Linked DNA regions of Macaca fascicularis. The protein of the gene in region 1 interacts with the protein of each later gene in a biochemical or structural test. Links are inferred from orthologs where the notes say so. Each region holds a gene or a part of one and is shown in the gene's direction. Other genes may lie near its edges.

The links.
Region 2: of the proteins of NEDD4L (region 1) and SGK1, one has a biochemical effect on the other in vitro, tested with the Homo sapiens proteins (5 studies listed by BioGRID). The link is inferred for Macaca fascicularis from reciprocal best matches to the Homo sapiens genes NEDD4L and SGK1.
Region 3: of the proteins of NEDD4L (region 1) and SNCA, one has a biochemical effect on the other in vitro, tested with the Homo sapiens proteins (3 studies listed by BioGRID). The link is inferred for Macaca fascicularis from reciprocal best matches to the Homo sapiens genes NEDD4L and SNCA.
Region 4: the proteins of NEDD4L (region 1) and UBE2E3 form a complex in vitro, tested with the Homo sapiens proteins (3 studies listed by BioGRID). The link is inferred for Macaca fascicularis from reciprocal best matches to the Homo sapiens genes NEDD4L and UBE2E3.
Region 5: the proteins of NEDD4L (region 1) and UBE2K form a complex in vitro, tested with the Homo sapiens proteins (2 studies listed by BioGRID). The link is inferred for Macaca fascicularis from reciprocal best matches to the Homo sapiens genes NEDD4L and UBE2K.
Region 6: of the proteins of NEDD4L (region 1) and NDFIP2, one has a biochemical effect on the other in vitro, tested with the Homo sapiens proteins (2 studies listed by BioGRID, with this or other methods). The link is inferred for Macaca fascicularis from reciprocal best matches to the Homo sapiens genes NEDD4L and NDFIP2.

What each region holds. Positions count from the first base shown.
Region 1 is NC_088392.1:22,631,293-22,634,792, reverse strand, and holds part of NEDD4L (E3 ubiquitin-protein ligase NEDD4-like), read left to right. Parts: intron 1-821; coding exon 822-953; intron 954-1,471; coding exon 1,472-1,591; intron 1,592-2,697; coding exon 2,698-2,895; intron 2,896-3,500. UniProt on the Homo sapiens protein: E3 ubiquitin-protein ligase that mediates the polyubiquitination of lysine and cysteine residues on target proteins and is thereby implicated in the regulation of various signaling pathways including autophagy, innate immunity or DNA repair.
Region 2 is NC_088378.1:38,175,195-38,178,694, reverse strand, and holds part of SGK1 (serine/threonine-protein kinase Sgk1), read left to right. Parts: intron 1-250; exon of another isoform or gene 251-310; coding exon of another isoform or gene 311-428; intron 429-1,134; exon of another isoform or gene 1,135-1,188; coding exon of another isoform or gene 1,189-1,264; intron 1,265-1,409; coding exon 1,410-1,485; intron 1,486-1,921; coding exon 1,922-1,997; intron 1,998-2,449; coding exon 2,450-2,554; intron 2,555-2,660; coding exon 2,661-2,744; intron 2,745-2,863; coding exon 2,864-2,995; intron 2,996-3,246; coding exon 3,247-3,359; intron 3,360-3,500. UniProt on the Homo sapiens protein: Serine/threonine-protein kinase which is involved in the regulation of a wide variety of ion channels, membrane transporters, cellular enzymes, transcription factors, neuronal excitability, cell growth, proliferation, survival, migration and apoptosis.
Region 3 is NC_088379.1:95,268,981-95,273,117, reverse strand, and holds the end of SNCA (alpha-synuclein), read left to right. Parts: intron 1-375; coding exon 376-459; intron 460-3,026; exon of another isoform or gene 3,027-3,028; coding exon 3,029-3,061; 3' UTR 3,062-3,637; downstream 3,638-4,137. UniProt on the Homo sapiens protein: Neuronal protein that plays several roles in synaptic activity such as regulation of synaptic vesicle trafficking and subsequent neurotransmitter release.
Region 4 is NC_088386.1:76,567,738-76,570,869, forward strand, and holds the end of UBE2E3 (ubiquitin-conjugating enzyme E2 E3), read left to right. Parts: intron 1-191; coding exon 192-339; intron 340-1,997; coding exon 1,998-2,095; 3' UTR 2,096-2,632; downstream 2,633-3,132. UniProt on the Homo sapiens protein: Accepts ubiquitin from the E1 complex and catalyzes its covalent attachment to other proteins. In vitro catalyzes 'Lys-11'- and 'Lys-48'-, as well as 'Lys-63'-linked polyubiquitination.
Region 5 is NC_088379.1:38,999,305-39,003,423, forward strand, and holds the start of UBE2K (ubiquitin-conjugating enzyme E2 K), read left to right. Parts: upstream 1-1,319; 5' UTR 1,320-1,334; coding exon 1,335-1,408; intron 1,409-4,119. UniProt on the Homo sapiens protein: Accepts ubiquitin from the E1 complex and catalyzes its covalent attachment to other proteins. In vitro, in the presence or in the absence of BRCA1-BARD1 E3 ubiquitin-protein ligase complex, catalyzes the synthesis of 'Lys-48'-linked polyubiquitin chains.
Region 6 is NC_088391.1:70,542,602-70,546,746, forward strand, and holds the start of NDFIP2 (NEDD4 family-interacting protein 2), read left to right. Parts: upstream 1-1,345; 5' UTR 1,346-1,426; coding exon 1,427-1,747; intron 1,748-4,145. UniProt on the Homo sapiens protein: Activates HECT domain-containing E3 ubiquitin-protein ligases, including ITCH, NEDD4, NEDD4L, SMURF2, WWP1 and WWP2, and consequently modulates the stability of their targets. As a result, may control many cellular processes.

The sequences.
Region 1 (3,500 bases):
TGTTTTTCAGCGTTTCTCCATCCACACTGCATTTCTTAGACTGTTTCTCAGGGATCTTCTAGTGATCAAATGTGGACTGTCTAAATACAGTCACTCTATGTTGGACAGGTCTCTAAATCCAAAGACTGCCAAGCTGTGTTCGCCTTCAAAGAAACACACTTCTATCAGCGGACTTGGGTGCACACAGCCTCGGGTGTGAGGCTGGGTGCTGGGAGACTTCCTGAGCTGGGGCACACAGATGTCCTGGGTGGTACTCCAGATTATATGCTACTGTGTGACCGTCAGCATCCTAGAGAAGGGGCTGTGTGTTGGGATTTTAAAATTTTGCCCCAAAAGGTACAGTGTAAGGGTCCTAAGCTGATGGAGAAATTTAGGACTAAGCTAGAAGAGCACCCCATGGGAGCTACATCGAGGAGAAACTCAGAGCATCCCTCTCATACACAGTGACACTGGGCAGTTTGAAATACCTTTAAGCTCTACCCGGTTTGGCAGTGGAATTTAGTAGCCAGAACAGATGATAATGTTTTTCCCTTCCCCTATGATCACCTTAGCAGCAACCCTTTACATTTAAGACTACGGGGGTGTTAGAACCAAGTTCTGTAAGAATTTGGATCTGCAACTGTGTGGGGTTCATTCCACAGTAGATTTGAAGCTATTGGAAATCTATTGCTGTTTTCCAGACACTTGGAAGTATTTTCTATGTAAATAGAACTAATTAACTTTGTCTAGAGAAAATAATTATCTGGGTGTACATTATTTTATTAAACTGATCAGAAATCAAATGCAAGGTATTAAATAATAATGATTTCTTGCACAAACAGCCATCAGTGGCCTATGTACATACCACGCCGGGTCTGCCTTCAGGCTGGGAAGAAAGAAAAGATGCTAAGGGGCGCACATACTATGTCAATCATAACAATCGAACCACAACTTGGACTCGACCTATCATGCAGGTACGAAGATCGCCATCCAACTTAAAACCGCAGGCCATAGAAGCCGAAATGTACATGACCGACCTCCCTCCCTGGTGTTTATATATTGTTCTGAAAGAGTCATATTTGTAAAAAGCTTTCTCACAAAGAAAATGCATTACTTTAAATACAATAATAGCCTAAGGAAGAATTTGCTTTCCAAATCAGTTTATCACTGAATACATTTTTAAAATGTGAAGTGAAAGATATTTTCAAAGTAAGAGCCTATTACAGTGTGTAGCTTCTTCCCTGCCCCACCCCCCACCCCCTGCCTTTAATCTGAGGCTAGTTTTTATGCTGGGCTAGTGATTCATTTTTATTTCCCTTGAATGTGTTTCCCCATCCTTTCCCCCATCATTATGTTTAATTATTTCCTCCACGCTTTAAATAGGCCAGACCTCTTATTATTGCTGTTTGCGTTGTTGTTTGGGTTCGCGCTCCTAATCACACACACAGGGAGATCCTCCTATGAAGCTAACTTGTTTTTGCCTCCAAAATAGCTTGCAGAAGATGGTGCGTCTGGATCAGCCACAAACAGTAACAACCATCTAATCGAGCCTCAGATCCGCCGGCCTCGTAGCCTCAGCTCGCCAACAGTAACTTTATCTGCCCCGCTGGAGGTGAGACGGCTACCTCATCTAACTGGACTCACTCTGTCCTGTGACTCCCATTCTTTCTTCTCTCTTAACTCTGCCTTCAGTTTGGCAGCCACCTCCTCTCTCTGATCAGTCGTTGTGTTGGTGGTGAAGGAGGTTCTTGTGCAGCCTTTCTACCTGCTTCTCTGTCTCGCCCAGTTAACATTCCTGGACTCTCTCACCTGATTCTCATTCTCATTTGGCTAAGGCCGCAGTGACTTGTGCTGGACGTGGGCACTCTCTTTTCAGGACTTCCACCGTTCTTGTTGTGTTTCGCTTCTTTTTGCCTGTTACCTCATTAGAATTGCATAATCTGTCTTTCAAATACCAAGTGCTGATATTGAGTTTTTAAACATAGCTATTGCTTTGATCATTTTTTTTCTTTCGACTGTAGGGTCTTTCATTCTATGGGCATACATGTTTCTGATGCATATTTGCATATCTGCATCGTGGCTGGGCATCTGCTTGTGCTCTCTGTCGTGTTTGTATTGTTTTGGTGCCATCCTTTAACATCACAAATGTCAGAGTTAGAGAAGCCAAAGAGCAAAGGTTTGAGGTCCTAAGCTTGACTGTGTCTTAGAGACAACTGTAGGCTTCTCCATGCCCTGGGTCCAGATGCCAATAAGTGGGAATGGATGCTGTCTCTTCCACACACTGATATGAATGTCATGGGCAACAACTGTGAGATTCCAGATCATTGTCTTTATTGATGTAGGTTTTTCTCTTCTGTGCTCTAAAACTTGCCAATCTATTCTTCATTAGACTGTGAGCTCATTAAGAGCAAGGGCACGTTTTTCTCTACTCTGTAAAATCTCCATCCATAATGCTTAGTACAGAACAGTATTTTTGGTACATACTGAGTAGCTACCAAAGGATGGTGATTATAAGTACTTAATATTGTTGTGTGTTTATCCAACAGAGGAAATGTAAAGTTAGATTGATTTAAAAGTAAATGAATGACAGAAAACAGGTTTTGGGAATCTTCCCTCTTGCCCGCCTCCAAAGAGAAGCCTCCTACAATACCCAGGTACATTTTGGCACATTGGAATCGCAGCTGCTGAAGAGTTCTAATGCTAATTGTTATTCTTTAGGGTGCCAAGGACTCACCCGTACGTCGGGCTGTGAAAGACACCCTTTCCAACCCACAGTCCCCACAGCCATCACCTTACAACTCCCCCAAACCACAACACAAAGTCACACAGAGCTTCTTGCCACCCGGCTGGGAAATGAGGATAGCGCCAAACGGCCGGCCCTTCTTCATTGATCATAACACAAAGACCACAACCTGGGTAAGGCTGCTGCTTTTATTTGGCTCCGTTTTCATCGTGAAGTCTGGCATTAATTCCTTGATTTCCTTACTCAGTGTTTGTAGTTCTTGCAGAGGAATTAGATTGACTGTAAAGGGTGTTTCCAGAGGGTCTCCTCAGCCTGCATCTGGCCCTTGCACAAATGGGTGGGTGGGAGTGGGTGGGCACAGGCTGATAGCTGTCTTTGGTACTAGTGCTGGGACTGCCTTTTCTCCTGGGAAACTCTAGTTTAGACAGTTCACCATGCTGGATGGAAAGGTACTGTTCTGTGCTGTTAAGATTTTGTTAATTGATCCCATCTTACAAAATAAGGAGTTATAATCATTTTCAAAGAGGAGTTATAATCATTTTCAAATAATTTTTTCTTTTGTCAGTTTCTTTTTGCACTTTTATTGGCATTACCCACCTTCTTTTGATTTGTCACTTTAGTTTTTACTGTTCACATCAGATCAGTATTCACACGTCTGAGCTACATTTCCGTGCCCTTAATCATGGGATAGGGGATGTATGGAGTGACTTTGGTTGTAAATCTGATACTCCTTTTTGTGATCATTTTGTCAAAATTGATTTTTCTTACCATGCAACTG
Region 2 (3,500 bases), on another chromosome or scaffold:
GAGACGACTTTTATTTCCGCCCCCTCCCCTCCACATTCCTGACCTCTCCCTCCCCCCCTTCCCTCTTTCTTTCCTTCCTTCCTCCTCTTCCAAGTTCTGGGATTTTTCAGCCTTGCTTGGTTTTGGCCAAAAGCACAAAAAAGGCGTTTTCGGAAGCGACCCGACCGTGCACAAGGGCCATTTGTTTGTTTTGGGACTCGGGGCAGGAAATCTTGCCCGGCCTGAGTCACGGCGGCTCCTTCAAGGAAACGTCAGTGCTCGCCGGTCGCTCTCGCCTGCCGTGCGCCCCGCCGCCCGCTGCCCGCTGCCCATGAGGGAGATGCAGGGCGCGCTGGCCAGGGCCCGGCTCGAGTCCCTGCTGCGGCCCCGCCACAAAAAGAGGGCCGAGGCGCAGAAAAGGAGCGAGTCCTTCCTGCTGAGCGGACTGGGTAAGCGCGGTCGCCGGCCCCGCTGGGGACTTGGCTCACTTCCCCAGAGCGGCTCGGCTCCTGCCCCGCTCGCGGGCTCGTCCGCAGGGGCAGGCTTTCGTCGGAGTTCTGGGAGCCGGGGTCCCGGCGGCGGGAACGGGAGGACCTGGCAGGCAAGGTCGCGCGCTTCGCCCTGCGCCCCAGAGATAAACCCCAGAGGGTGGCGCGCACCGCCGGCTTGGGCTGGGGAGGGAGGTGGGGGTCCGGCCGCAGGACGGCGCCAGGCCGGGGAAAGGGAATCTGCAGGGAGGGAGTGAGCGAAGCCACCGTGGCCGCCGCGCACCCGCCGGGAAGCGCCTCGGCGCTGCGACCCCGGCTTTCTCGGGCGGCGGAATAAATGAGAGGTGGAAAACTACCCTGGGCTCTCCGGCCCTCCCCGCGCCCTCCGCTGGCGCGTTCCCTCTCTTCTGCCTCGGGGGCCGATGGAGGCTGATAACGGCCCCGCGCCAGGCCCTCCCCGGACGGTCCTCGCGCCCCTGCCCGGGGCTCGCCCTCTCAATGGGGACAGAACCGCCCGCCACAGGCAGCACCGCTGCCAGCAAACCGCGAGGCGGTCCGGGCGGAGGGAGGGGCGAGGCGAAGGGCGGGGCCGCTTCTCATTGTCGCTCAGGCCCCGCCCCCGCGGCGGGGCCTCGCCTATAAGGCCGAGCGCGCGGCCCGGCGCGGCACACACCGAGCCGGTCTCCGAGCGCTAACGTCTTCCTGTCTCCCCGCGGTGGTGATGACGGTGAAAACCGAGGCAGCTAAGGGCACCCTCACTTACTCCAGGATGAGGGGCATGGTGGCAATTCTCATCGGTGAGTGCAGGAATCTGGCGGGACTTATGCTCCAGGAGACTCAAAGTGGAAATTTTTTGAAAGTCCGGCATCAGATTAGTGTATGTGGCTCCGGACGTTATGAAGCCGTCTAAACGTTTCTTTATTTCTCCTCCTTAATCCACAGCTTTCATGAAGCAAAGGAGGATGGGCCTGAACGACTTTATTCAGAAGATTGCCAATAACTCCTATGCATGCAAACAGTAAGTTTGACGGGATTTGAGGAAATAAGAATAACTAGTCTGGTTTGAATTTGCCAGCAGTAAACATTCTCATCACGGCGTTTATCGGGAAGGCGAAGACTTCTTCTGGGGTGGGAATCTCTTTTCTCCTTAAATTTTAATATATTAGACACATTTTAAACATTAAAGTTAATTTGCTGTTTTGGCTTGAACTGGAGATGTAAGATAAATGGTTCGTGTCGGCCGAATTCACTCCCTTTCTCCATGAGCAACAATCCTTATTTCTGTATTTAACGGGGTTTATTATTTTCTTTAACTGAGTAATATATTGGGGTATTTTCAGTTTAAACACCGAATTATCCGGGTAGAAGACGGTAGAGCCAGAAACTGACTTTTGATGTTGGTGTGCCCCCTAGTGGCGAGCTGGATTCTGAATCGTGCCCTTTATTCCCTGCAGCCCTGAAGTTCAGTCCATCTTGAAAATCTCCCAACCTCAGGAGCCTGAGCTTATGAATGCCAACCCTTCTCCTCCAGTAAGTATTTTCTATGTGCAGTGCCTCTGTGGAGAACTGTAAGGGAGTCAGTTAGTATTCCTGCCTTAATGGTTTAAAATAGCATTTCTAGAATTTAGTATCAAAGCAGGAATGCTTCATTACTTTATGGCATAACAAGTGATAACAAATATTTAAGTATTCAGTCAGTATTATTTTATTTTTTCGTGGGCGTATTTTACCTCCAAAGTGGATTATTTTAAAAGGCATATTTCATTAAAAAGTTTTATCTGTCCGAAACAACATGATTGTGTGCAGTTTCCATACTCATTTGAAATGACTTGTGATGAAATGTAGTTTTGAATGTTTATAGACAGATGTATGGTCATTTGCCTCAGTCATTTGTAGATGTAACATCTTCTACATCGTTTATATTATAACTGTCTTCCTTTGAAGCAATGATATTAAGAGAAATCCTTTTCTTTTTTTCCTAGCCAAGTCCTTCTCAGCAAATCAACCTTGGCCCATCGTCCAATCCTCATGCTAAACCATCTGACTTTCACTTCTTGAAAGTGATTGGGAAGGGCAGTTTTGGAAAGGTAATTTCGAATCTGAAGATCTTTTGGTACACTTTCTTCATGTCCTCATTTTACATTCTCCCTGGATAAGGATAGAAAAATGATTTTTTTTAAATTGAAATTTCAGGTTCTTCTAGCAAGACACAAGGCAGAAGAAGTATTCTATGCAGTCAAAGTTTTACAGAAGAAAGCAATCCTGAAAAAGAAAGAGGTATGAGATGTGCTTGATGAGGTTGGCATTGGAGGTAGACACTCCTTGAATAATCTTGATCTTGGAATTTTGGTGCCAAGTTGAAATATGCCACTAAATCTGAATTGTCATTTTCCTAGGAGAAGCATATTATGTCGGAGCGGAATGTTCTGCTGAAGAATGTGAAACACCCTTTCCTGGTGGGCCTTCACTTCTCTTTCCAGACTGCTGACAAATTGTACTTTGTCCTAGACTACATTAATGGTGGAGAGGTGAGCAGGGGGAATAGAAGACGTCAACTCTTAGTGTCTCTGCATAGCCTGCTTTGTTTTAGTTTGAGAAGAAAGTTTTCAAAGATACTTGGTGGGGAGAATGTTACCAGAATTAGCATTTCCTTCAACCTATCAGGTTTATAGTTAATAGATTACTTGGGGCTGCTTCCTGCAGTTGTTCTTTTGCTGTATATGTCAAAACTAATTAAGTTCATTTGCAACCCAGCCTGACTTTGTTCTGTCTCTCGCAGTTGTTCTACCATCTCCAGAGGGAACGCTGCTTCCTGGAACCACGGGCTCGTTTCTATGCTGCTGAAATAGCCAGTGCCTTGGGCTACCTGCACTCACTGAACATCGTTTATAGGTAAGCCTGAGAGCTCTTAAGGCTACCTGTTTGGGTATAAAGGAGACATAGCACTGGCTCTTTCACAGGGCCTTAAAATAATTTGTGTTTATGTGCAACTTGGTTGCCTAAAACCAGATCCCCTAGCACGTGACCTGGCTT
Region 3 (4,137 bases), on another chromosome or scaffold:
AGCACCCAGCAATAATTTTTAACTCTTCATTATTCATTGAACATTTAGTTAACAATTGTAAAAATGTTGTTTCCTGCTGTCATTGATCTTGTGAAGAATATTTTTGGACTATAGCTGTGGATTATTTCCTAAATAGTGAATTACTTGAGCAAAAACTTTACATACTTTGAGGGCTGGTAACCCATGTTGCCGCAATGTTTCCCCAAAGGCATTGCAGAGTTTAGAATGCCAGTACTTATATTAAAGTGTGCCGTTTTCAACATCCCTGGCCAACATCCCTATATGTAAGATTTTTCCAAAACATGGTTCTGATTTTTAAAAGTGAAAAATGCTACTTCATCATGTTCTTTTTGTGCTTCTCACTTTAAATATTAGAATGAAGAAGGAGCCCCACAGGAAGGAATTCTACAAGATATGCCTGTGGATCCTGACAATGAGGCTTATGAAATGCCTTCTGAGGTAGGAGTCCAAGCTGAATCTTTCTAACAGTACCAACAACCTGTCATTGTCATATTTCTCTTGCTTAGTGAGAATCATTTGCTCTCTACATGCTCATTACGTGGACAACTTTCAAGCTAGGAATGGTTTTTACATTTTTAAAGGGTCCAAAAAAAAAGAGGAGGAGGAGGAAGAGAGGATGTAACACAAATTCTAAGTCCACATAGCTTAAAATACTACTTGACCCTTTACAGGAAAAGTTTACTAACTCCTGCATTAGAGAATATATTTTTAGAAACTATACATTCTAAAATAAGTTTCTAAATGGAAAGTTAGGGAAATCAACGGAATGCCAAAGGAAGGTAATTATTTTTTGCCATACATTTCCAGTGGGATGATTGCATAGTAAAATAAAAGTTACCCACACAAGTTATAGAATGAAAAGATAAATGTATGATTTGCAACAATTGATATATTCCAGTATAACATTTTAAACAACGTATGATTGTTAATTTTATTTTTATTGAAAACAAAAGTATTTTAATAGAAAATGTATCAAAAGGGAAATTAGAAAATACTGTTAGATGAAAAAAACTGACCCAAGAAGAAATAGTAAATCTGAATAGATTTGTATAGATTTGTAACACAGTGAAGTGATTAAATGATTAAATTAGTAAAAAAAAAAAAAAAAAAAAAAAAAAAAAAAAAAAACAAAAAAAACACCTGCATGCAAAGAAAATCCCAGGCCGAGACAGCATCACTGGTAAGTTCTACCAAACATTTAAGGAAGAACTAATACTAATTAGTTAACACCAATTAATATCTCTTACACAACATAGGAGTCATTTAGACATTTCCCAACTAATTCCGTGAGACCAATATTACCCTGATAATCAAAACCAAACAAAGATATCACAAGAAAAGAAACTGTATGATGGTTCCATTAAAAATTGAGTTCAAATATGTTGTGGTTAGGTTATGTATTATTCCTCATGGCATTATTAAAAGGCATATCAAGGATGGGTGCAGCGGCTCACACCTGTAATCCCAGCACTTTGTGAGCCAAAGTGGCCAGGTTACTTGAGGCCAGGAGTTCAAGACCAGTCTGGCCAACATGGTGAAACCCCATCTCTACTAAAAATACAAAAATTAGCCAGGCATGGTGGAACATGCTTATAGTTCCAGCTACTTGGGAGGCTGAGGCACAAGAGTTGCTTGAACCCAGGAGGCAGAGGTTGCAGTGAGCTGAGATGGCACCCCTGAACTCCAATCTAGGCAACAGGGCAAGACTGTCACTCACACACACACACACACACACACACACACACACAGCATATTAATAATAATTCAATTTATAGAAATTGAGATTAAATTGTTTGCCTAATAAGAATTTCCAATATTTTGGGGTCTTTTATGCAAGACACAGTACCAAACACTATAGAAAACTATAGTGTAATTGACATTACCAGGATATAAGGAGTTTACAGTCTGGTAGGTTTGATGAAAAAAATAGAAATTCATTCATTCATTTCTTCATTATGATTCCTTCCTTTAACAAACATTATTGATTGCCTTCTATGTACCAGGCATCACAGGAGCAAAGATATACAAGATATACTAAAAAGTATAACATTTTAAAGGATCTGTTTCAATCAATCAGGAGTAGTTTTATTGAGGAGGTAATGTTGATCTGGGTGGGAAAAGGAAAGAGATATGGTAGGGCAAAACAAACAGAGGACGTTCTGGCACAAGGGAATATCAGAAGCAAAGGCATATGTGTCTGAGAATGCAAATGGATATGTCTGAGAACAGTAAATAATTATGACTCAAGCTTAGGAACAAGGAAAATGGTGATAGATTGAACCTGCAGCTATGGGTCAAAGACAAATTATAGAGTATTAGGACAATCTTGTCATTTAAGTTTGTGTTCTATTCAGAAAACAACTTCAGTTATTGAAGATATGCTTATTTGTTTGTTTTTAAGCAGAATCCTGATATTATTAAAGTTGCTCTTTAGGAGGAATAATCTGACCCCTTTAATTACATCATTAATATTTGTATTGTGGATGCTTTCCAGATATTGTATGGAGAGCTTGGGGTCTGAAATACAACTAATAATTGAAGCCATAGATGAAGATGAAATTTTCAAGTGGGAGAGCGAAAGTAGGGAAAATGTACCTCGCCTTCAAACGTCTTAATTTCCTTCTGAGAATTAGAGCGTCTTAGCCCTGGAAAAGGCTTTATAGACCGCTTGATTTTATTCTCACATTTTACAGGTGAAGAAACTGAGAATCAGCCAGTCCAACTTATTTGTCCTACCTGACTAGGTATATGATCATTAAATGGTACATCTGGATTAGAACCTAGATATTTTAACTGATTACTACCACAATTCACATCTATATCGGACAGGAAATACACAACTATTAAAAATAAGATAATGTATATTGCAGAATATTTGCAAAAACATTGAGTGTAAATTTTAATGTAAGTGATGAGCCATTTCCTATCTCATTGGCTGTCAGTGCTGATGCATGATTGAAACTTACACTAACAGTGCGTGCTGTCTTTTTTATTTTTCTAATATTAGGAAGGGTATCAAGACTACGAACCTGAAGCCTAAGAAATATCTTTGCTCCCAGTTTCTTGAGATCTGCTGACAGACGTTCCATCTTGTACAAGTGCTCAGTTCCAATGTGCCCAGTCATGACATTTCTCAAAGTTTTTACAGTGTATTTTGAAGTCTTCCATCAGCAGTGATTGAAGTATCTGTACCTGCCCCCATTCAGCATTTCGGTGCTTCCCTTTCACTGAAGTGAATACATGGTAGCAGGGTCTTTGTGTGCTGTGGATTTTGTGGCTTCAATCTATGATGTTAAAACAATTTAAAAACACCTAAGTGACTACCACTTATTTCTAAATCCTCACTATTTTTTTGTTGCTGTTGTTCAGAAGTTGTTAGTGATTTGCTATCGTATATTATAAGATTTTTAGGTGTCTTTTAATGATACTGTCTAAGAATAATGATGTATTGTGAAATTTGTTAATATATATAATACTTAAAAATATGTGAGCATGAAACTATGCACCTATAAATACTAACTATGAAATTTTACCGTTTTGTGATGTGTTTTATTAACTTGTGTTTGTATATAAATGGTGAGAATTAAAATAAAATGTCGTCTCATTGCAAACAAAATTTTATTTTTATCCCATCTCACTTTAATAATAAAAATCTTGCTTATAAGCAACATGCATTGAGAACTGACACAATGGACATAAAGTTATTAATAGGCATTTGAAGAAGGAGGAATTTTAGAAGAGGTAGAGAAAATGAACATTAACCCTACACTGGGAATTCCCTGAAGCAGCACTGCCAGAGGTGTGTTTTGTGGTGCCTTAAGTGGCTGTGATTAAAAAAAAAAAAAGTGGGCTCCAGGGAACGAAGCAGTGTAAAAGATGATTTTGACTACATCCTCCTTAGAGATCCATGAGACACTTTAGCACATATTAGCACATTCAAGGCTCTGAGACAATGTGGTTAACTTAGTTTAACTCAGCAGTCCCCACTAAAAAAAAAAAAAATCATCAAAAATTCTCTCTCTCTATTCCTTTTTCTCTCGCTCCCCTTTTTTCCAGGAAATGCCTTTAAACACCTTTGGGAACTATCAGGATCACCTTAAAGAAGATCAGTTCTCC
Region 4 (3,132 bases), on another chromosome or scaffold:
CTATACAGGGTAAAAATAAAGATTTCAACTGAGTCAAAACCATTTAATTCTGTTATTAAACCTAATCTAAGGTTAGCTCCAGTCAGATAATTTAGTATCTTCTATGATATATTACCCTTCATCTTTTTCTAGTGTTTTAGTTGGTAATATAGCATTCATTTTCCTTCTGTTTTTAATGTGACTGTGCTTAGGTTACTTTCCGCACCAGAATTTATCACTGCAACATCAACAGTCAGGGAGTCATCTGTCTGGACATCCTTAAAGACAACTGGAGTCCCGCTTTGACTATTTCAAAAGTTTTGCTGTCTATTTGTTCCCTTTTGACGGACTGCAACCCTGGTAAGCAAATCTTTATTAACACAAAAACCAGTGCGTTTTTTTTTTTTTTTTTTTTAGTTAGCTTTAAATGTAGATTGAGAGGTAAATGTTATTGATAGGAAGATCTCCGTAAAATAGTTTGTAAGGAAATTACCAGTGCCATTTGAAGTAGACTAGGCCAGAAGTTTCTCAATACCTTCATTTAATTTGTTAATGGCATACCACTCTATAATTATTTTGTCACCATCACTAATGGAATCTTTACTTTTAAAACTGTTTAGGTGCACAGACTACTTCTACCAAGAGTAAACCAATGTCTCTGAAACCAGTGCCTCCTTTTCCTGCTCCTTCCATTCTGCGATAGGCTTTTAAGCAGCTACTTTAATAATAGAGGGCTTCTTGTTCTCCCTTCCTTTTTGAATTAATTAGTTATATTAGGTGTAGTAGTAATGAATATTAAAATGATAGCCAATGAGAATTGAACTAGATTATGATTATATAAACTCAGAGATAAAATCATTTGTGTGTAATTCATAACTTTAAAAAATGCCTGCCACATGTGAACTTCAGAAACTTGAGTAGCTGACTTGATAAAATGATGTTTAGACCTGAAATTTCACACATTTTGTTTTGCTATGTGATTTTTTTTTTAAGTTGACTTACTTTTTCTAAATATTTGATAAGTCACTGAAAACTGTTACTGTTGTTACCTTGTGCTTGGCCGAGATACATATACAATAGATAGAGACAGATGGATATTCATTGTGGTATCATTTATTAGAGTATTGGAAACAACCTCAATGTCCATTAATTGATGTAACTTTTTAAAAGAATGTTTATATGACTCTATATGAACTCATAGGGAAATATCTTCGAGATATATTAAGTATAAAAGGCACTGGAAAAAATACATATATACAACATAATATTCTAAATGCTTGTCAGTGCATCTAAGAACTCTGGAAAGTAATGTTGTAAATGGGTAACAGTTGTTTGCCGGGGAAAGAAACTTCTGAGTAGTTGGAGTCAGGAAGGAAGAGAGTTTTTTTTACTGGCTATGGTTTGGTACAGTTCAAATATTGTACCATATGTACATATTTTTTTCTTTTTAAACATTATGATAAAAATTTATATCAGGTTCACTCTCTAGTTCAGAATTCTACTTAAAACAAAATGGCAAGTAAGGTTTCAAGTGGAAATATAGATAGTGATTAGAGTCATATCAGGCACAGAATGAAGGAAGCATTGTATTTGAAATAGCATGGTATCGTAAGACTGGGGTTTTACTTAAAACTTGCCATTTTTGAACTATTCATAAGCAGAAATATAACCTCCTAGTATACTTCCATTGTTGAATGAAAGGCCAAAATTATAAAATAGTTTTTTGTATATTAAAGACCTGTGTCTTTCATAAAAGTCAAATCTAACTATTTTTGTATATAGCTCAAAATTTGTTGTTGTTGTTGTTGTTGTTGTTGTTTTGCTGAAGGGGGCTTTCCTAACTTGAATATTAAAATACACATATGATCATGTTACTTTAAATTTTTTCTTTTGAAAATCTAGCTATTATATATGAAGATACTGCGGAAAAGTAAGCATTTCATTTTAATAGAATATTAGAACTATACCTTGAAGAAGATACCACAAAATAGCTTTTAATGTTCTTTCCACTTTTCCAGCGGATCCTCTGGTTGGAAGCATAGCCACTCAGTATTTGACCAACAGAGCAGAACACGACAGGATAGCCAGACAGTGGACCAAGAGATACGCAACATAATTCACATAATTTGTATGCAGTGTGAAGGAGCAGAAGGCATCTTCTCACTGTGCTGCAAATCTTTATAGCCTTTACAATACGGACTTCTGTGTATATGTTATACTGATTCTACTCTGCTTTTATCCTTTGGAGCCTGGGAGACTCCCCAAAAAGGTAAATGCTATCAAGAGTAGAACTTTGTAGCTGTAGATTAGTTATGTTTAAAACGCCTACTTGCAAGTCTTGCTTCTTTGGGATATCAAAATGTATTTTGTGATGTACTAAGGATACTGGTCCTGAAGTCTACCAAATATTATAGTGCATTTTAGCCTAATTCATTATCTGTATGAAGTTATAAAAGTAGCTGTAGATGACTAGGAATTATGTCATTTGTATTAAACCCAGATCTATTTCTGAGTATGTGGTTCATGCTGTTGTGAAAAATGTTTTACCTTTTACCTTTGTCAGTTTGTAATGAGAGGATTTCCTTTTACCCTTTGTAGCTCAGAGAGCACCTGATGTATCATCTCAAACACAATAAACATGCTCCTGAAGGCATAGTTTCCTGTCGTAATATTTTACGTCAGTCTTGTTAGAAGGTGTGTCTGAGATGATTGTTGATGAAATAAAAATGCGTCTATGAAGATTACTAAAGACTAGCACAAATAAACCAATTCTTAAATTGAAAACATTTAAAGTCCTATTAAATGTGTAGAGATTTTTTCCTTTGTTATTGAAAGAATGACCGTAAATAATCAAAAGTGGATTTTAACCCATTAGTCTCAAACACATAGAGCTGTATTTTGGTAATATGATGCTTAAGTCAAAATGCGTCTGGTAATATCTTATGGAACATGTTGTTCAGCATTGGGCAGTATTGTTAGATGGTAACTTTGATGTGGTAGCTAGTGTACTTTTTACTTCTAATCCTGGTCTTGAATTTTCGTGGTGTGTATTACCATTCTTACTATGGCAGGTGGCCAGCAAATACAGCCAGAGGCACAGTTGAACACAGAAATCTTTGTCTGCCTTGAAGGTAGACTAGAACTGTGTTAGTG
Region 5 (4,119 bases), on another chromosome or scaffold:
CATGCCTGAGGGTTTTTTGTTTTTTTTTTTTGGTATTTTTTGTATTTTTAGTAGAGACGGGTTTCACTATATTAGCCAGGCTGGTCTCGAACTCCTGACCTTGTGATTTTGCCGCCTTGGCCTCCCAAAGTGTTGGGATTACAGGCGTGAGCCACTGCACCTGGGCTTTTTTTTTTTTTTTTTTTTTTTTTTTTTTTTGAGACAGAGTCTCGCTCTGTCGTCCAGGCTGGAGTATGGTGGCACAATCTCAGCTCACCATGGTCTCTGCCTCCCGGGTTCAAGTGACCCTCGTGCCTCAGCCTCCTGAGTAGCTGGTATTACAGGTGCACCCTACCACGCCCAGTTAATGTTTTGTATTGTTAGTAGAGACAGGGTTTTACCATGTTGGCCAGGCTGGTCTTGAACCCCTGACCTCAAGTGATCCAACTGCCTCGGCCTCCCAAAGTGCTGGGATTACAGGCATGAGCCACCACTGCCCAGCCAAGACTATATACTCTTATTTCCCAGTGAATACATTATTGACAGTTTTTGAAAATACTGACTGTAGCCCCAAAAAGCTTAACTGGTTGGAGATACAGGGCAGACAAAGGATAGATAAAAATGGTAGGGGCAAAGAGTAAATGCTATGGGATTCTAAGGGTATCTGTATGAGTGAGATTCCTTTTTGTTGTTGTTTTGTTTTTGAGAAGGAGTCTCGGCTCTGTCACCCAGCCTGGAGTGCAGTGGCTTGATCTTGCTCACTGCAACCTTCGCCTCCCAGGTTCAACCAATGCCTCAGCCTCCGGAATGGCTGGAATCCCGGGATTACAGGCATGCGCCACCCTGCCCAGCTAATTTTTTTTTTTTTTTTTTTTTTTTTTTTGAGACAGAGTCTCGCTCTGTTGCTCAGGCTGGAGTGCAGTGGTGCGCAATCTCAGCTCACTGCAGGCTCCGCCTTCCGGGTTCACGCCATTCTCCTGCCTCAGCCTCCCGAGTAGCTGGGACTACAGGCACCCGCCACCAGGCCCGGCTAATTTGTTGTATTTTTTTAGTAGAGATGGGGTTTCACCATGTTGGCCAGGATGGTCTCGGTCTCCTGACCTCGTGATCAGCCTGCTTTGGCCTCCCAAAGTGCTGAGATTACAGGTGTGAGCCACCGCGCCCGGGCACTACACCCTGCTAATTTTTGTAGTTTTAATAGAGGCAGGGTTTCACTATATTGGCCAGGCTGGTCTCAAACTCCTGACCTCAGATGATCTGCCTGCCTCGGCCTCCCAAAGTGCTGGGCTTACATGGTGAGCCACCATGCCTGGCATGCCTGGACTTTTTTTTTTTTTTTTTTTTTTTTTTTTCAGATGGAATCTCGCTCTGTCACCCTGGCTGGAGTCCAGTTGCATGATCCAAGCTCTCTGCAGCCTCCGCCTCCCAGGTTAAGTGGTTCTCCTGCCTCAGCCTCCCAAGTAGCTGGGACTACAGGCGCACCCCACCATGCCCAACTAATTTTTTATATTGTTAGTAGAGACAGGGTTTTATGATGTCGGCCAGGCTGGTCTCAAACTCCTGACCTCAAGTGATCCACCTGCCTCGCTCTTCCAAAGTGATGAGATTACAAGTGTGAGCCACCATGCCCAGCCAAGACTATGTACTCTTATTTCCCAGTGAATACATTATTGATAGTTACTGAACATGTTGACCACAGCCCCAAAAGGCTTACTGGTTGGAGATACAGGACAGACAAAGGATAGATAAAAATGGGAGGGGCAAAGAGTAAATGCTATGGGATTCTGAGGGTATTTGAATGAGGGAGGTTCTTTTTTGTTTTTGTTTTGTTTTGAGTCAGAGTCTCTGTCGCCCAGCCTGGAGTACAGTGGCTTGATCTTGGCTCACTGCAACCTCCACCTCCTGGCTTCAAGTGATTCTCAGGCCTCAGCCTCCGGAATGGCTGGAATCACAGGCATGCGCCACCACACCTGGCTAATTTTTTGTATTTTTAGTAGAGACTGGATTTCACCATGTGGCCAGGCTGGTCTCACACTCCTGACCTCAAGTGATCTGGCTGTCTTGGCCTCCCAAAGTGCTGGGCTTACACGCATGAGCCACCCGACCTGGAGTTTTTTTGTTTTGTTTTGTTTGAGATGGAAACTCACTCTCACCCAGGCTGGAGTGCGGTGGCGTGATTTTGGCTCACTGCAGCTTCTGCTTCCCAGGTCAGGTAGTTCTACTGCTTGACCCAGTAGCTGGGATTATAGGCACGTGCCACCACACCCAGCTAATTTTCCTATTTTTAGTAGAGATGGGGTTTCTAGCCAGGCTGGTCTCGAACTCCTGACCTCAGGTGATCCGCCTGCCTTGGCTTCTGAAAGTGCTGGGATTACAGGCGTGAGCCATCGTGCCCGGGCTGTATGACTGTATGAGGGGGGTTCTTGAGCTAGGTGCTTTTTGTTGTTGTTGTTGTTGTTGAGACGGGGTCTCCCTCATTCGCCCAGGAGCACAGTCATAGCTCACTGCAGCCTTGACCTCCTGGGTTCTAGCAAGCCTTCCACCTCAGCCTCCCAAGTAGCTGGGTCTACAGGTACGTGCTGCCACACCCAGCTAGTTTTTACTTTTTGTAGAGATGGGGTCTCACTATGTTGCCCAGGCTGGTCTTGAACTCCTGGCTTCACACAGTCCTTCTGCCTCAGCTTCCCAACGTTCTGGGATTATAGGCATGAGCCACCTCACCCAGCCTTCTTGAGCTGAGGAAAGTTAAGACTGACCTCAAATTTCAGGAGACAGTCCCAAAGGAATTGTGGTAATATTGCGATTCTTTTTTTTTTCCCCCCCGAGACAGAGTTTTGCTCTTGTTGCCCAGGCTGGAGTGCAATGGCGCAATCTCGGCTCATTGCAACCTCTGTCTCCTGGGTTCAAGCGATTCTCCTGCCTCAGCCTCCTGAGTAGCTGGGATTACAGGCATGCACCACCAAGCTCAGCTAATTTTGTATTTTTAGTAGAGACCGAGTTTCTCCATGGTGGTCGATCAGGCTGTTCTTGAACTCCCGAACTCAGATGATCTGCCAGCGTTGGCCTCCCAAAGTGTTGGGATTGCAGGTGTGAGCCACCACGCCTGGCTGAAATTCTTAAGTAAATAAACTTTTCTCTAGGCACATGAATTGGAACTATGGAACAAAGAGATTATTGATGCACTTATTCAAGAAACACATTTACATATGTAGAACAGAAAGGTTGCACAGCTCTTATATACTCAAACATAGTTGTAGAGTTAGATCATGTTCTTAACTTTCTTCATAGTTACCTTTTGGGGAGGAAAACCACCCTTTTTCATATTAAAGTAAAACGTGTACATAATAAAGTGTGACTGGCATCCAAATCAAGAAACAGACCCTTCCCAGTACCATAGGAATCCTCCTTCCTTTCTAGTTACTTTCCTGACTTCTAATAACAGATTAGTTTTGAGTATGTTTGAGTAAAAGAACAGATGTGAGTATATGTTACGTATTTTAAGTTGGAAAGTTTTCAAAAGATGCTGTTCAAAATCTGTTAAGAAAAATATAGTGTCTTAGAAAATGTACTAAAATGTATTGAATTTCAGTGCTGAAATAGATCTAGGCCAAACTCCTCATCTATAAAATCAGGAAACTGAGGCCCAAGGAGGTTGATTGTTCCTCAGAGAAACAGCTGGTTAATGGTTGAACCCAGGCTTTTTGCATACCAGTTTAGTCATAATAAGTAGTTGGTTTGTGGGAATATCCTTTTCATAAACGATAGTGTAAAAGCTGACTGCTAATACAACTTTACAGAAGGAGATAACAATGCAGTATTATTTAAATGTGTCTTTTCTTTTCCCCCTCTTAGTATGAGAACTTAAACTTGCCAAGGAGGTAGAGATTTTTAACTCCTGAAGCATAATTTAGTGAAGTTAGCTTAGTAATTAAGAGCATGGGCTTTATAATTAGATTTGCTTTGAGTCCTGGCTTTTCTTCTTAAAACCTGAAGTACTGGCTCTGTATCTCGATTATCTTTATCTGTAAAAACTGTGGGAAGATTAAGAGTGTCTTTACAGTGCTTAGAATAACCTTGGGACATAATTAAACAGATAGCTGTTAGATGTCAGAAGTAGCTATGTTTTCATATTCTGTTGTG
Region 6 (4,145 bases), on another chromosome or scaffold:
GTCAATCTCGCAAAGAGTTTTTGGGTTTTTTTGTATCTTGCTATTTTAACCAGTTGATTAGGCTCACCCAGTGGCAGTCTTCATTTCAAGGATGTCCTCTGGACATTCATGAAGGAAATAAAGTAAATGGGGCTCCAGATCCCTTTCCTTCCCTTCAGGGGGCTCCACTGTAAGATCATTTTGGGAAAATGTGGTGTTATCTTAAAAACATAGCTGGGCCACATCAAGCAGCACCATAGTTTTGAGGGTATAGAACGTTGGTCTTCAGGTTAAAAGGCACTTTTCACTGCTCTGTCATACTCTTCTACTTGCTAGAGAAATATGTTTTATGCCGTGTCATGTGTGGTTACAGACACTGAGATGCTATTAACAATGCTCCCAAGTGATTCCTTGCTGTTAAATCCATTGGAATTATTATTACCACAAAATAATCCTATCTGATTTCATTACTTTCTTCTAACGTCCTTCCAGTAACCTAGAACTCTAGAGACCTCTTCCTTTGAGAGCTGTCTGGAGAGTCTGTTGGATTTTTAAATCTCTTATTACCAAAAAGTGGAAAAAAATTTAAAAAGTAACCAAAGAGCTGGTGCCTGTAGTCTCAGCTACTCCAGAGGCTGAGGCAGGTGGATAGCTTGGGCTGAGGAGTTCGAGGCTGCAGTGAGCCATGATTGTGCCTGAGAACAGCCACTGCACTCGTCTGGGCAATATAGTGAGACCCCGTCTCTAATCATCCCACAGAAGAATTTCAGGGCAGTGGATAACTCTGTAGGATACTACAATGATGAATACCTGCCATTACACATTTGTCGTAACTCGAGGAGTATACAACAACCTGAGCGAACCCCAAGGTAACTATAGACTTTCAGTGATGATGATGTGTCAATTCGGGTTCATCAATTGTAACACATGTACCACTCTAGTGGGGGATGTTGATAATGGCGGGGTTGGGGGTGGGGTTATGCATGCGTAGGAGCAAAGTGTATACGGGATATCTCTGTAACTTCTCAATTTTGCTGTAAACTACAACTACTCTATATTAGTCTTTTAAAAATCCCTTATCTTACGAATGATTTTTGAATAAGCGTTTTAGCAATGTTCTAGAGATGAATCTCCTCCCCACGTCCTACGCTGGGTGAGTAATACGAGGAAGTGTCGGGTACCCGGGAGACCTGTCCTCAGGTGTTCCAGGAACGCGGCCCCATACCTTTGTCAGCCTCTGTCTCTGTGTGGTGAGAAGGCGCACTGGCTCGTGCCTGCGCGAGACTCGCGCACATAGAAAAGACCAATCAAGGACGGGTCATTCCCGCCCCCCGCGCGCCTTCTGCGACCGCCCACTCGACAGGTTGACAACCTAGACAGCTCCCCCGGACTTGCCTTACTTTTCCATCTCCTCCCACCTAGCTACACCCTCCCACTGGCGGCGCGGATGGGACGCCGGCGGAGCCAGCGAGTCTGCGCGAGCGGCCCGAGCATGCTCAATAGTGCGCGCGGCGCCCCGGTGCTCCTCCGCGGAACCGCGACCAACGCGGAGGTCTCGGCGGCCGCTGCGGGAGGCACAGGAAGTGAAGAGCTTCCGCCGGGAGACCGCGGCGGCAGGAACGGAGGCGGAAGGGGCCCTGCGGCGACGACGTCGTCGACGGGGGTGGCCGAGGGAGCTGAGCACGGAGAGAACTCCCCCGCTCGGAAGCCGGATCCCGAGCCGGGCAGGATGGATCACCACCAGCCGGGGACGGGGCGCTACCAGGTGGTGAGTTCCCGGCCTCCTGTGCTTCCCGGGACTGCCTCCCGCCGGGGCGTCCCGAGAGTCCCTTTCCTCAGGTTATTCCCAGAGGAAACGCTGTGGCTTTTGTTTTGTTTTCTTTTGGATCTTCTGACTGGAGCTGCTTCACTCGCCTCTCCTGCGCACTCCTGCCTAGGACTGCTTCGAAACCCTTCCCTGTCGCCCCAAGTCTCCTCCTAGCTCCTCACCCGTACCCTTAGCCCCCTTTGAGACACCTCCCTCCGCACACCTTACAACTTGTATCTGTTTTAATTTCTCACTTTATCATTTTCTTATTCTCTGACTCAGTCACTTCTGAGACATTCTAGTCGATTGTCTACTGGAAGTGGGGCTGACTTCACATACCTGCCCGGAAGGTGATCGCCGTCATAAATGGGGTGGGTGGGTGGGTAGGTGGGTGAAGGTGTAAGTACTGTGTAGAGTGGGATTTGGCAAAAATGTGGGTTAGGAATTGTGGAACCGAAGAGAAAGACTAGCCATAGTGCTGATCTTGTCTGCTCGTTAACCTTGTCATTTTTGTCCTTTTCCATTATGTTAGTATTAAAAATGACTGTATTTTTTGTAATCCCCAGTTTTTTGTTTTTTTTTTTTGTTTGTTTGGCTAGAGGGGAAACAGAGGTAGTTTTAGTAGAACAAATTCTAATCTTGTTCGAAAAATTATTTTTCGTTAAATACAAGGTTTTCCAGCTTAACTGTGTAAACTTTGGTAACTGTATGTTGAAAAAAGTGAAATATGTTCCTCTGTATTTTCAGTGTCAATTTTTAAATATATTTTTCTTTGTGTATTCTGGTGGTGACGTTGAAGATTCCTGTTGTAAACCTTAGTTAAAAATGGACTGAGCAATAGTTGACTGTGCTGTTGTGCTGTTGCAGCTAGGTAGCATGTCATTCTACAAACTTTCAGCCCATTTACTGAGGGAGACGAGATAAATAATACATAGCAGTGGTGGTGCAATTTATGGTTTATAAAATTTTACAAATTTAGGTATGTTAACCCCAGGTTTCAACTTTCAAATCTATCTGCACATGTCAGACTTAGTTATAAGCCAAGACTTTCTATTAATAAGTACATTTTGGCAATATGAAGGACACTGTAAGATGAGATCCCAATGTATGTAATTTTGCATTTTTCTAAGATAAAAGCTCACGAGGCTTCTATTTTCAACTGGTTTGCATTCTTTAAAACCTACAAAAGGTCCGTGTTCCGAATTCTTTGAAAATGTAGCAGCTTTTCTCAACAACTTGGGAAATACTGTTTCTCCTAGTATGGAAAGCATTTTTCAAGTGTACACCCTTTTGATGGTTTGAAGGGCATTTCTAGGTTTGTAAATGTTAGCAAAAATAAAATGATACAAATACTGAATAATATCAGCAGTGGAACTTGTTTCATTTTTCTAATCTTCCTGTTAGATTAGAAACATTAACCATGTTCTCCTACACACGTCACTACTTAAAACACTGTTAATTTATGTAGCTCTCAGTTTTAAGATATTTGTTTTCCCTACAGCTCCTTTCAAAATAAATGGACATATTTTATTGCTGCCCCCTCCCCTCATTTTTTTCAAACTGATGATGTGTCCCACATAGACTTTGAAGTTCCTTGAGAGCAGAGGGCAAAAATCAGTTCTTCTAAAGATAATGCCTACCAGTCCCTCTAAAGATAATACTTTAAGTAAGTAGGACATCGATTTGTTTTCCTTGTAAGGCAACAGTGTTAGGGTTACACAACTTACATAGTCATTTAACCTATCCAGTATAACTCTTGGTTTTGTTTATAATGGCCTGATTAATAACATCTAAGTGTATGTCAGAGAAAAAGCTGAATTGACATTTTCCGTAGACTTTTTAAACTAGAGATCAGTATTCAGCTCTGGCTTATATGATGAACATAACTATTTTGTGGTTGCCTTTAGCTCAGTTTTTGGGAAAACTGGAATGTGTAATAAACTGGAGCAATAAACAGCTTGAGTTGTCGAATGTTAAGGGATGACTAAGTCAGGAGATAGGCAAGTATACTTAGGGGTGAGATGGTATACAATGTTAATTTTTCACTTATTTAAAGAATTTAAATACAACTTTTCATACTGGAAAGCTAGTAGTGATGCTCAGGGTCATCAGAACGACCTACTACCATTAGCCAGTGCACAAGCTTTATCTAGAAACTGCTTTTTCTGTGATCTTTCCTTTCATTGTTAAAAGCACCCAAAATTTATTAAGTAAAGCAGTTAACAGTTTAGAGCTACAAAAATTCTTGATTGTTACCCTTCTAATTTCAGAAAAAGCCAGGTATGGTACATAATTTTCTGGGAAATTCAGTTTTGTTCGTTAGTAAATGAGCAGTGTTGCTAACTATGATAAAGTTGAC